2 linked regions of the Drosophila melanogaster genome follow. Changing the gene in region 2 together with the main gene of any one other region gives a genetic interaction. Each region holds a gene or a part of one and is shown on either strand. Other genes may lie near its edges.

Region 1 (6,557 bases), on a different chromosome or scaffold from region 2:
ACGTTCGTAAGTGCGCTACATTGTTTAGGTTTTAATATTAAACGCACTCCCATTAAAGTTATTAAAATTAAAATTTAAAACAATAAACTAAACATTTACAAGTAAAAAGTGAAATATTTTAAAGACGAAAGTTGTATTATTTTTTAGAAATATATTTCATATATTTAATAAATATATCACTTCGCTTTTGTGATTTGTCAGTATAATAATCCTTTGGAATATATAATCTTTTGGTAAATATATATATTATTTCATTATCTGATTATTGACTAGTATAGACCACAGTTGCTAGTATTCCTACTTATGTCTATCATGGCTACATATATAGTGTTTAATCATGTTTTCCAGATAACAAGTGTTCGATTGCCAAGAAACCATCCCATTTCTTAGCCATTCATGGCTTCTTATCTATAAGACGTTTATTATAGATTCGGATTCTGCATGACTAGACTTTTGAAACTTAAAAATATCCATGTGATTTTTTAAATGTAATAAAACCAGAAACATAAAGGCGTCAAATTAATTGTTATGCATTTCGTTTATTTAAAAATAAAGATAATCAAGCTTAGTAGTAAGCAACGCCGGAGTTGTCGCGGATCCAGTCCAGCTGGTTGGTAACACGGGTGAATCCGGAGGGCAGGCCAGCGGTGCAACCGTTGCCGGAAACCCAGGAGGTGACACCCACCAGGCGGCCACCGTCGTGGAGAACCAGGGGGCCACCGGAGTCACCGGAGCAGGTGGACTTTCCGCCGGAGGTGGACACACAGAGGATGCCATCGGGCTGGGTGCCGTAGGTGCGGGAGCATTCCGAGTTGCTAATGATCTGCAGGTCGACGCACTCCATCCAATCGGGCTGGGATCCGGCGGTGGTCAGTCCCCAACCGCAGGCGACGGCCCAATAGTTGTCGTACATGTTGTAGCGATCGTTGAAGCTGGGCAGCTCCACCTTGTTAACCATGTGCCAGAAGTCCACGTGGGGGGTGCGGATCAAGGCGATGTCGTTGCCGTTCTGGTTGGGCCAGTTGTGGTTCTGGATGAAGTCGCCGCTGCCGACGGTGTGGGTGAACTGGGCGTTGGTGCGCCAGGTGGCTCCGTAGTAGATGGTCACCTGGGAGGCGCCGTTGGTGCAGTGAGCAGCAGTCAGGACCCAATCGTGGGCGATGATAGAACCACCGCACCACCAGCCGCCGTTGCCGCTGAAGCCCAGACCCACGGTGTAGGGAGCCTTGCCCTCGTAGGCTGGATATCCGTTCACAATGCGGCCATTGATCTTGGTGTCCTTGGGCAGGTCCTTGGGATGAACCTGCTGGACAGTCTCGGCGGAGACAGCGGCCAAAGCCAGAGCCAGTACAACGAACACTTTCATGGTGATTGGATCAATCGTGGTCTGCGCCAGACTTCCATCCGTTTTTATTGCGCCCCTTATCGCTGTCTGGAGTAGCCCCCACTCGGCGTTATCCTATCTCTAAGAAATTCGCCCTCTGATACCAATGGAAATTAATTGATAGCACGTCTAAGAACATCTTGATAGGCAAAAAAAATAATAACTCGCTTTTAGGAAAAATTCTAAGCTGATTATCTTCGCTTACAACCGACGTAGGCAATATAAGAAAACAGAAATGATTTTAATTTAATTTAAGGACTAAATAATTTATACATAATATATACATAATAATGTATACATAGAGTATGTAAAATGTAAAAATAATTTAAAATAGGCGCCCAATGTAAGATGTAAGGATTGAAAAATGGCTCACCTGGTCACACAGAGCCATGCATTTATTGTTTATATATTCCGCCAAATTTTATCAATTGATGTCGCAGCATGTCCACTTGCAGTTCATCCGAGATAGCGGAGAAGAAGCGCATTGCGCTGGCCAAATTGCAGGCCAAGAAATCCCAGCTGCTGGCCAGCGCACCCGCAACCAATGGAAAATCAACAACGTCTGCAACAGGTGCGACGCAACATGCGAATAATGGAAAATCAAATCCCAATCAACCGCAGGCCAAATCCCCATTGAATTTCTACCGATCACCGACGGGGGAGCAGAAGAAGATCAACAGGAGCGGTCCCACGCCCGGTGACAACAAGAGCTCATCCTTTCTGAACGCTCTGAAAGCAATCAAACAGACATCCAACCGGGAATTGTCCCGCGGAGCAGCACATCCTTACCAGCGGCCAAATGGAGGGAACGAAAGAAACAAGCCCACTCTTTCACTGAGTTCGGATAAGGAGAAACCGGTGGCTGTGCTACTCGGAAACTCCATCACGTGTAATCTCTACTTGATCAGCACACATCGGTTTGCTGCCCAAACCTCAGGATATCACGAACAGCTCGTGACCGTGTTCAAGAACATGCCCACCAAGTGCTACGATGGCCAAACCCGTATCTGGAGTTTCGATCTGTCGGACTACCAATCCCTGAAAACTCATGCAGCGGATCTAAAGCCATATGTTCACATGAATGGCATTCCGAAGAAGGTGCTGGATCTCTGCGGCCAGCCGCCAGTAGTTCCGGAAAGAAGTGTTTTAGCTTCCATAGAACCGAAGCTGGCGGACCAGCTAATGCCCTTCCAACAGGATGGGGTATGGTAAGCATTGCTTGTATGCTATGTACTTCCAAAAGCGCTAAATTTATCATATGTTTAGCTTTGCCATAGCCCAAAAGGGACGCATTATGATCTGTGATGAAATGGGCCTGGGCAAAACCTATCAGGCCTTGGCCGTAGCCGACTATTTCAAGGATGATTGGCCCTTGCTTGTCTGCACCACCGCTTCTACGAGAGACAGTTGGGCGAAACACATAATGGATCTACTGCCGAAGGTGCCCATCCACTATGTCCAGGTGCTGAACAACAATCAGCTATATGTGGGTGAGGCCAAGGTGCTAATCACCAGCTACAATATGATGGAGCGACACGAAGATAAGCTGATGCAGCGGAAGTTTGGTTTCATCATCTTCGACGAGTCGCACACGCTGAAGAACAGCAAGGCCAAGTGCACGACAACGGCCAAAAGACTCACGGATCAGGCGAAGCGGGTGGTTTTGCTATCCGGCACACCGGCTCTCTCCCGGCCATTGGAACTTTTTACGCAACTGCAAATGATTGATGGCAAATTCATGAATTTCATGGAGTTCAGTATGTCAAGAATGTCTGTTTACCTTAGAACGCGCTTATATCGATTAACACATTCACAGCTACTCGTTATTGTGATGGAAAGCAGTCAACTTTTGGTTGGGATGCCAATGGTCAATCGAATTTGGAGGAACTGAAGGTCATACTTCACCTTAAATATATGCTGAGGCGAACGAAAGTGGAGGTGCTGCCTCAACTCGCTGAGAAGAACCGGTGGGTTGTTCACATTGTTGTATATCTATAATATATTTTCTAACATTTCGAACATTCTTCCATCCGCAGTGAGACTGTCGTCCTGGATCCCGCCCTAGTGTGGACCAATGCGGAGACCAAGGAAACCTTGGATGCGTTTAACAAAGAGCTTAAAACCGCTAAAGGCAGGGCAACGGAAGAGATCTTACTCCGTTTCTATGCACGCACTGCCGAAGTGAAAACTCGAGCGGTCTGGTAATAAAAAAAATCATTAAAACCATATAAACCATCTGAAGTTAATGTATTATCCTGCATTATAGCGCCTACCTAAAAACCTTAGTTAAGGAGCAGAAAAAGTTCATTATCTTTGCCCACCATCGTGTCATGATGGACGCCATTAGCGACTTCCTCAGTGGATTGAAAGTACACTACATACGTATTGATGGACAAACGCGTAGCGATCACAGGTCGGATTCTGTGGACACGTTCCAAAAGAAGAGCAGTTGTAAGGTGGCCCTGCTCTCCCTAAAAGCCTGCAATTCAGGAATAACGCTAACTGCAGCTGAGATCATAGTGTTCGCTGAACTGGACTGGAATCCTAGCGTAAGCTTCGCTTATATGTTAACTTGGAGAACGCTTAAATTTAGTTTTATTTTATGTGCAGACTCTTGCCCAGGCGGAGAGCCGTGCCCATCGCATTGGTCAGACAAAACCGGTGATTTGTCGCTATCTGATTGCTCACAATACGGCAGACGATATAATCTGGAACATGCTGAAAAATAAGCAAGAGGTGCTTAGTAAAGTGGGCATCTTTGCCGAAAATCTTCAGAAAGCAACACACACAGCAGCACCCACTTCAGTAAGATACATTTTGAATACTTTGAAAAATGTATTTTTCGCTAACTCAACTTTTTTTTTAGTCCCACAAGATCGAGGAGTACTTCTCGCCCTCCACGTCCACCTCCCTTGAACCGGAAAGGAATAGCATAAAACAATATTTTTCAACTATTCCAGCTAAAGAGCCGCCTGAGCAAAATAATAATACAGAAATGACCAAAGTAAACAAGGCTGAGTCGGATATCGCGGCGTTCTTTAACGATGATGATGATGAGGCTTTTTTGGAATTAGATATTTAGATTGTGTAATGGAATTTAATCCTAGAATGTTTATTGAGTTAATCGTAATAAATTGTATTTGAGAATGTTATAGCATTGAATGAAACTTGTTGAACGCACTTCTGCGCATGCTCCACGTTTGCAGAACTCTTTTCAGATAGCCGGTTTCATGTGACCTGGCAACAGGCAAACAAACACTCAAGTAAACCTTTTCACTTGTATCAAATAAATAAATACACAGCAAGTTAAGTTTTGTACAATAATAGCTAAATAATATGGATACTACGCAGGAATCTGATCTGCTGGGCGAAGAGGAGGAGTTGGAGAATGAGAACGACGTATCCTTTCCGCGTGATATCGTCAGTGTAGAGTGAGTACGGAATTGGAAGTTGATAACTTTTTCTTGATTGGAAAACTTCTGCTGCAGACACTCCTTTGGTTACGATTGTAAGAAGCTGTTTAATTTGGTCCTTGTGGATTCAGACACGCTGGTTTTTGCCTCTGGAAACTTCCTCAACTACTTTAGCATTTCGCGCCAGGAGATTTCCTTTCAGGAAACGGTCTACGGCTGCGGAGTGGGCTTTATAACGGTGAGCTTTTTAGTACCTTTGAGTACCTTTGTATGATCTAATGGTACTCCATTGCCAGAAAAACGAGCATCCTGACTACACCAACCTCTTTACGGTGGGCGAGAACGGAGCTCGTCCCACTGTCTTTATCTACGAGTATCCATCGCTTAATGTCCGTGTTAAGCTACTGAATGCAGCTCAGAATTGTTTTACGGCGGGCTCCTACAACAAGACGGGGGAATTGTTCGCCTCGCAGGCTGGCTATCCGGATTTCATCATAACTATCTGGCGTTGGGAGAACGCTGAGGTTGTCCTGCGTGCCAAGTCCTTTCAGAGCGACATTCTGTTCGTGCACTTTTCGGAGCACAATCCCATCCTGCTCTGCTCTTCCGGGCTTAGCCACATCAAGTTCTGGAAGATGGCCAACACCTTTACCGGCCTGAAGCTGAAAGGAGATCTGGGTCGCTTTGGCAAGACGGACTTCAGCGATATCTATGCCATGTACATGCTGCAGGATGAGAATGTGATCTCTGGCAGCGATTGGGGCAACATGCTGCTCTGGCAGGCGGGGCTCATAAAGTTCGAGATCTGCCGGAAGGGTCGAAAACCGTGCCACACCAAACCGATTACGAGGATAACCATGAAGAACGGTGAGGTGACGACGGTGGGCATGGACGGTTATGTGCGCGTTTGGTACTGGGAAACGGTCGACTTGGCCGATCCGCCAGAGGACGATTTGTTTGTAGAGATCGATCCGATCTACGAGTTCAAGATAGCCGACGTGGAGCTTCGTTGCATGCAGAAGATACATCCCTTTGATGAGTCCGATTTCACCCACTACGCCCAGGATGGTAACGGTGGCATATGGTTCTGCGACATTAACACCTACGACGTTCCTCAAAAACCGAGAAAGCTCTACTCCTGCATTGGCGGAAAGGTACTGGCAGCCCAGATGTCTCCAGTATCGCCCCATTTCCTCTGCATGTCGGAGAGCGGAAAGCTGTTCGTTTACCAATACGATGAACAGCGTCTGATCCTGGAGAAAGAGTTCCCGGCGGAGGGAGTCGATGTGATCTGGCTGGATACGAATATCTCTGTGAAGGGAACCGAGCTGGTGGCTGCCTTCAAGGATGGTATTCTGCGGCAAATGTATCTCGACCTGAGCAACGGGGAAAGGCCCAAGATGACTCGCGTAAGAGCCTTCAAGGCGCACACATCGCCGATTACTGCACTCACTGTAAGCCGGAACAGCTCATTACTCCTGACCGGCAGCGCCGACAAGAGCATATTCATTTACCAATTGAGCCGGGATGAGCATCAGATGGTGGACATGCGTCCGCTGGGATTTGTGCAGTTTGCAGCTATTCCGAACTGCTTCTACTGGCACGAAACGGAACCCACCGTCGTTCTGGTTGGTTGCAAGAGTGGTGACCTGTACGAGTACAACATCCGCACAGAGGTCACCGATCACGAGACCTACCTGTCCTATAACATAACAGAAAACTCGCGCATGCGCCACACGAAGTTCGCTTCCATTAAGAGC
Region 2 (7,615 bases):
TAAATACTTCCGCCTAATTAAACCCATTTTATGGCAACACATTTGGAAAGATATGATAAAATATAAACATGAAAATCTAGATAATTATACTCGTACATCAGATACTTCCGATTTCAGATGAAATTCCTTTGTATTTCTATATATATTCTCTATTATATCGTTCTTACAATGATAAATCTATTTTAGAATCACCTGCAAAAACTAACAACTAGTATATCGACTCACCTGTAATTCCGATTCGGTGACGTCGATTTCACCACGATAAACAAAATCGATGATCGTTTTCAGGTCGGTGAAGATAATGTCGGCGGGAAGGATAATTGTGGGATGTTTGCACGGATTCTCGAGCAGTAGTTTTTGGAAATACGTCGAACAGGCGGACAGGACGACCTGGAGTTTTTGAACAAAAGTTTGATTAGCTTCATAACTATAGTGTAGATACATATATCGAGATACTTCACCTTGTGCGCCTTGAGGGATCCATGCTCGCAGGACAGAGTGACGTCCACAAAGGAGAGATCCTCGCGCAGCTGCTGAAACACGGACGTCATCGTGTTCTGGTAGTTATTCCAGCGCAGACTGAAATACTGATGTCCTCGAACCGCTGCCATTTCGTATGGTTTTTCGTATTCGTTTCACGCCGAATCCTAGCTGAATTCCTGTTGCTCACTTTTGTTTATGCTTGTGGCGTGCTCAACACGCTGCGGAAATGTGTGTATACTCCAGTATACTGCGGGAAAAGCCGAAGAAAATCATCAATTTAATGCGGTTCACTCGAGGAGTTGCAATGGCAAATCATCAATCAATACAGAGACTTTAAGGACAACTGGCTGCATCCTCCTATCTGAGTTCTTGGCGAATTGCCGTTCCCGATGCAACTGAACCACCACCAACCACATGTTGAAGATGCCACAAAAGGAGTTGCAGCCAGTCGGTCCATTGTGTTCGAGAGCCTTACAGCGCCTTACAACGAGTTACAGGGAATAAGACGCAAAGTGGGAGGTGGCGGGCAGGGGGGTGGGGGGTGGATAAACTATGCCGAAGACAGGTAGGAGGAATAGTCAATGGCTATCAGGCTATGCAGGTCGAATTGTAAATGCCCTATGGGAAATATGGTAATTAACGATTGTAGCACCCTGAACAGCTAACATAAAAATAGTTTTTAAGTTCTTGAAGTATTAAGTTCCCTTCAACTCTCTATTTTGATAACTCTATAAGAATAATAAAACTAAAAACGTTTTCATTCAAGTTCGTATGAATTGAAGAACAATTTTTAATTACTTTTGAACCGAGACTTTAGCACTTTCAAGAGATTTAGATCACAATATGCTAATGCATTTGAAGTCCTGATTTTCAAAACAAACTTATTAGTTTCTATCCCTAGAAGGTTTTCTGTAGCAGCCTATTTAACTTAAGTTTAACCCACCAAAAACAATTTAGTATGCTTTCCCAATCTGTTTAGAGTAAAAATAATCCAATGAATATGATTACCGAAGAGAATCAAAATTACTTGTATATGAATGAACATTCCATTCAAGCTAATTTATTTTGTTTTATTTTCGAACATAAGTTACCTTTTTTTTTAAAGCTTATGAGCTCAACGAATAGTTACTATTTTAACTTTATTTAGTGCTGGTCATGTCGCGTGGTTTTTAGCACCGCCGGAATGGTTTTGTTTTGCACATTTTCATGTAAAATGTTGGGCCAGGCCAGAAGGAAGAAAACCGAAACTGAAACCAGTTTTCAGTGAAACTTCATTTTTGTATGCCCTTTTAAAAGGGTATCATAGTATGGTCACATGTTTACAACAAAATAAATGGTATTTTCAAATAAAACGCTCTTTTTACACTACATTTTTCCATTTACTACTAGTTTTTAAATTAATTAACATTCAAACAAAATCCCCAAGTAGCAGTTAGAGTATCTGAAATCAGTGTTTTTCGGATTAAATTCCCTTTCTCGTTTTCAATGGCACGTATTGGTGCCTGCAAGTTGTTTTTGCTAGTTGGGGCATTGTCAAAAAAAAAAAGGAAGGAACATAAAAAAGAATAATAGGAATGCTGAAAGGATGCTCGAGGAGGCAACTTGCCGTGCAAATAAAATGGGAGGCAATGGAGCGACGAAGAGGCGGACAGAGAGGAGATGCCAACTTTTGCTTGCAACTTCCAATGCGGAGGCTAAAATGCAACCACAATTTTATGCCGAACAATAAGTCAGATTTTCAAGGGATTTCTTTATTACAAAGTTACAGTTGCCACAGTGGATACTCAAAGAGATGTTTTTGATTTGATTTATTCGAAATCTATCTTTGTTTACAAATTTCGAAGTCAAATTAAGAAAAATAATAAGAAAATTTATAGTTGCATTTTCCAAACTTGTTTTATTTTAAATTATTTGCATTTATTGTATATGTAAAAGTTTACGAGCTTAAGGCTGCTCCACTGTATTTGCATTTCATTTCGCAGAAGACTCGCAATCAAAACAAAACGGCGGCAAGAAAAGGTGTGAAAGAAAGAGGAAGACTAGGTGTTGCCACCCACTCGAAAATCGGCGGGCCTCTCAGCCGCGCTCTCTCCATGTCTCTCTCTTCGTTTCGGACAGAGAGACTTATCATTAAACGCGCATTATGCGGTCCGTTCGTCCGCGTTGTTACTGCTCTTCTTCTTACATTACTAGACCAATTCCACGTTTTTTTTTTTTTATATTGTTCGTCCCATTGTTGCCTTCTCGCTCACACACACACATGCAGCGATTTGCCGCCTTTTGGAGCCTCTTCTTCTGCATTTTCCCCGTCTTTCTCTTACTTTGTGCATGTTTATTTGGCAAATGGATAATGTGTGTTCGTGTTTTTTGTATGTTTGTGCTATTGCTTTTTCACTTTTTCTTGCCCTTTAATATTTCCTCACTGCACTTTATGTTTCTACACCCTACCCGACCTACGGACGGCCTATTGATTCTTATAAGATCTACATTGATGATTGTAACATCACTGCATAAGGCAATGTAAATCTTTATATAAAATGATAAGTACGTATAATTTAGAACTTAAATAAAATAAATTTATTCGTATTAATTATATATGAATGCTTTTAACAACCTTCATCTCCTACAAAAAGTAAGTGCTATACTTTTGGTTTATTTTATTAGCAATCTTGCACTTTGTACTAAATATTTATTGGATTTTGGATTGGATTTTGAGTTTTTTTTTAGCCGGCTAGAAATGTTTATTTTTGCTAGTTTTGCTTGACTTAATAAGAATAACAAGAGTTTCTGTTGCAGAATAATGAAATACCCACCCCACTGTGTCGACTGTGACCACTATCAAACCCTTTTGTACCCACTGTGGCATTCCAGGCAAACCAACTTCGTTTTCGTTACGTCTCCTCTTCACCCGTGCATGGTGTGCATGCGAGCGAGCGAGACGGCAATGTTGCGGGGAGAGAGAGAAGAAGGGGACAACGTAAAGTAGAAGAAGAAGAAGAAGAGGGGGGGAGGCAAAGGCGCAAGACAAATGACAGCGCGCTACGAAATGAGTGAGTGGGTGAAGGAGAGGCGAAAGAAAATGGATTTTAAACATTTTTGTTTTGATTATTATTGTTCTTGTTCGTCGCAAAACTTTGCAAAGTAAAAGGGGCAAAGGGAGCGCAAAAGCGGAGAACACAGTGAGAGAGAGAGTGAGAGGGAGCAAGAGTTGGTGAGCGGTGTAATGCAAATGTAATGCTGAACAATTACATTTGCCAATTGAAGCCAATTGAAAGGTTTGCAGTATTTTGTTGCTTCTTTCTTTTGCCCATTTATTTGCACCCATTTTACTGCACTCTGCAAACAACAAATATGTTCGGCTCTTATTTTTAGTTTAGTTTGTGGGGCCTCTGTCCTTACCTTTTCGCTATTTATATTTGATTTTCGCTGCTGCTGCAATTTGCCGCCTGCCTTTTTGCATAATAATAGAGGAAATACGTCAAAGAGTTCCCGTTACGTTGCGTATTTGTTGTTGCTTCTAGTTTATTTTTTTGTATCGTACTGTATGCGTATTTACCGCCAGTTTTGTGTTGTTGTTTTTGCTGCCGCTTGTCGTGTGTTTTTGTTGCTTCTGCTGTTTTTCGTTTGTTGGCCTTTTTGCTTTTCTTTTTTTTAAATCAATTATTGTATGGTTTTTTATTTTTATTTCTCGCTACGCCTTCTGCTTCTACGCTCGCTCACTAACACACGCGCGCACGCACCACACGTACACACACACACACGCATTGCGATTGGTTTTTCATAATTCGCAAAGCAAGAAACTTAAATTTGATTCTATTTGATTTTACTGGGCTGGCACGCTATCGCTACATATTTCTTGCCATTTGGCTAACCATTTGCATTGGCGCCGCACTTTGACCGCTTCATAATGGGCCGATTAAATTTCTCAACCGCGCTTTTCCGCACTCTTTTTCGCGCACGCACCGAATTTCGCTGGCAAAACGGAATTTAAAATAATAATTATTTTTTCAGCTCGTCGTTCATCGGAGTGCTCGTGTTCGCCATTTTCGTGTGGCGCTGCCAGATCGCCGCAAGGTGCTAAAATGTAGCAAAAGGTGCTCAAAGGCTGAAAACTACTTGGGTAGTGTTTCCAAATAGTAGATAACTTGCTTTAAAATTGAGTGAGAACTCATTTGGATTTTCTATTGTGTAAAAAACTGTATTATTTATGCAACTACTTATTAGTTTCTAACTAGGTGGCATCGCCTTATCGGGTCTTCTTTGCTTCGCCGCTCGATTCAGCTGGTCGTCCCGCTTGCACCTATTGCATTTCCTATATTGATTTTTTTGCTACGGACTTTGATATGGGCGCGCAGAAACTGAAAATTCAAAAAATTAAATATTACAAAATGTACGTTAATAAAATGATGTATCTTCATACATTTAATCAGTTCTTTTATAATGTGAAATCCATAAGTGCTTCCAGGATTAAATGAGTTTTTTTGCTTGTAGAATTATTTTATTTATAAATATAATGCTTTAAAATTGAAAGTTGGAGGTTTTCCGTAATACCAATAAAAACATAATATATAAAATGCTTTAGAAGTATTGAAATATACATTTATTTCAAGCATTTATTATTATTTATTGAGTTTGTAAAAGGATTTCTTACATGTAATATACATTTCAGAGCTGCCACCTAGTTGCGCAGCGAGCCCAGCGAAAGCTGGTTGCTATGAAAATATCGACTGTCATTATATATTATCGATATGTTGGCGCCCACTCAGTTCAAATTCGAATGCAATAGTCCCATAAAACTCGATCATTACACTGAATTTTAGAAACTCGTTTAATGCTCGTGTGCGTGCAAGTCATGATTGCTAAAATGCCAGAAACTCTATGTATTTATAATGAGCAAATAAATATTCGCCACCAACAGTGCTCGTATTTGCATAATGAAGGCGAAACCATTCAAATGAGTTGCACTTTTTCCGCTGTCTCAATTTGTATAAATATGTGCGAGTGGGTGGGAGTCGCCTAGCCCCCATAAAAAACCATAAAAAAAACGAAGCTAGCATACAAAACGACTGATTTGCAGCGTAAACCATATGAGTTTGTATGTACACATTTAGGTACATATCTATATATACATATAGAGATTTGCATTTGGATGCGTGGAGCCGCGGGTAAAAGCTAATAGCTAATGGAGAACTTACGTGCCAATTGACATTCATGAGTCCCAAGGCCGAATACATTAAAATAATTGCATGTTCTAGCTCCACGGCAATGGAATGGTGAATAGTGAAACACAACATCAGCAGCAAAAAAAAAAAATTAAACATACATAATTGTAGCATGATCGGATCGGGAAATAATTGCTCCGGTTTTCCCACTTTCCAGTGCGGAAAAATCAAACGAATGTGGGCCGTGGAAGGGGGGGCCTGGAAGTGGGAACCCATTGAGGTCGTTCCAGCAATTGACGTGTGCACCTATTTACCCGACGAAAAACACGCAGCTATGCTATGCCCATGTACATATGTATATAGTGTATATGCCTTATAATTATAGGCGCACATAGGCCACCGAAATACCCATCCCCCCTTTCCCCCCGCCACAAAACCCACAAACGCACCCTACTCCATTCGAAAAACCCCATTCGGCAGACCCATAAACATGCTATATGCATTTAAGCACACACATATCGCATTTGCTTAGTTACTTGCACTGCGGATTGAGTGGCGGGTGGAACTTTTCGTGTCACGAGGCTGAATCATTTGAGTTAATCGGTCAAATCTAAATATATATACTTATGCCAAAATATTATAGAATACCTTCCATATACAATTTCAAATATTTAGAATTCATTTTGCCCAAACTCTAAATCTAAATCTAAATATCTTAAATTGCACAGGAACAAAGAATTTCATAAGTTTTTAGGAAGAACTTTTAAGAGTTTCTGTGATCATTTTATTGCGGAAAAATCTCCTATAAATGGCATAAATATGAAAGTACATTGTACAAATACATAAATTAGCAAAACTTTAAATTTAAGATTATGTTCTATTTTATAAGGTAGTGTAATTAACGTGTAGAATAGCTAAAAATACAATAGGTTCATATGAATATTAAGTTGATTTTATGTTCGAATGCATTCATTGTTTTCAAAGGTTTCTTTTTTGGAGCAATTTAGATACATAGCTTTAGCTGCAAACTCAATGCTCCTATAAATATTCATATTAAAGTGGGAGTTTCAATGCTCCCCAATGTAATCCCAGTTAATCAGTATTGATTTAACATGCCCCCACCACCCACCAAAATTCCCGTTGACGTGCCATCTCTAAAAACACACACACGCACAGGTTCCACAATTAGAGAAGGACAAACAAACAAAACAAAAGATCCCCCACACCAACAAAGAGGCCACAACAACAACAACAACAACAGTAATTGGGATCGAAATGGAAACAGCGCGCTGCTCCAAAAAAAGCATAAAGCACGTAAATGGAAAATGCACAGAGTGGGGGAGCGGAGAAAGAAACCCGCTGGAGAAAGAGAACGAGAGAAAGGGGGCGAGAGAGAGAGAGAGAGCGATTGGGAGTCGGAAAATGAGAGTGAGCGCATTAGAATCGCTCTGCTGCAACAATTAATGCATATTAAGGTCAGCATTTTGCCCTTCTGCTCTGCTTTGAAAAAGAGACAAGTGTGGCCCACAGGTGGCGCCAGTGGTTCTAAATTACAACTGGCAAAAGGTGTAATATTCTAAGGTTTACACCAGAAAAACAAGAAATTTGTGTTTAAAAATCATAAACTTTATAATATTTTTACTTGTAAAAGTAATATTTATTGGCGTTCATTGAGTAAGAGGCTTTAGTTAAGGAAATGAATACTTGTAAGTTGTACTCATAACAAATAAACAAATAAATCGCAAAGACAATTGAGACATTGTTAAACAATTTTCTATAGATAACGAGTTTAAATTACAGTTAAATATAGAAGATTTGCATTTTCATGTGTATGAATTATGGGTCTGGAATGTTTTATGTAATTGATGATCAACAATATTAAACACTTTTCTATTCCTGTTAAATTCAATTGTATCTATTTCAATTTTGTAATGTTGTGAGTAAATTAAAAAAAAAATAATATGTTTTAT

The links.
Region 1: of psq (region 2) and Marcal1, changing one suppresses a phenotype caused by changing the other (phenotypic suppression), as found in Drosophila melanogaster (one study listed by BioGRID).

The regions. Positions count from the first base shown.
Region 1 is NT_033779.5:4,953,758-4,960,314, forward strand, and holds Marcal1 (Marcal1), read left to right. Parts: upstream 1-1,751; 5' UTR 1,752-1,825; coding exon 1,826-2,592; intron 2,593-2,650; coding exon 2,651-3,141; intron 3,142-3,200; coding exon 3,201-3,351; intron 3,352-3,420; coding exon 3,421-3,585; intron 3,586-3,650; coding exon 3,651-3,933; intron 3,934-3,994; coding exon 3,995-4,189; intron 4,190-4,250; coding exon 4,251-4,466; 3' UTR 4,467-4,535; downstream 4,536-6,557. Other genes in the region: Jon25Bi (jonah 25Bi), read right to left, coding at 566-1,366; CG34124 (uncharacterized protein), read left to right, coding at 4,721-4,815, 4,873-5,035, 5,094-6,557. UniProt on the Drosophila melanogaster protein: ATP-dependent annealing helicase that catalyzes the rewinding of the stably unwound DNA.
Region 2 is NT_033778.4:10,554,801-10,562,415, reverse strand, and holds the start of psq (pipsqueak), read right to left. Parts: upstream 4,529-7,615; 5' UTR 4,040-4,528; exon of another isoform or gene 3,883-4,039; intron 731-3,882; 5' UTR 612-730; coding exon 462-611; intron 391-461; coding exon 226-390; intron 1-225.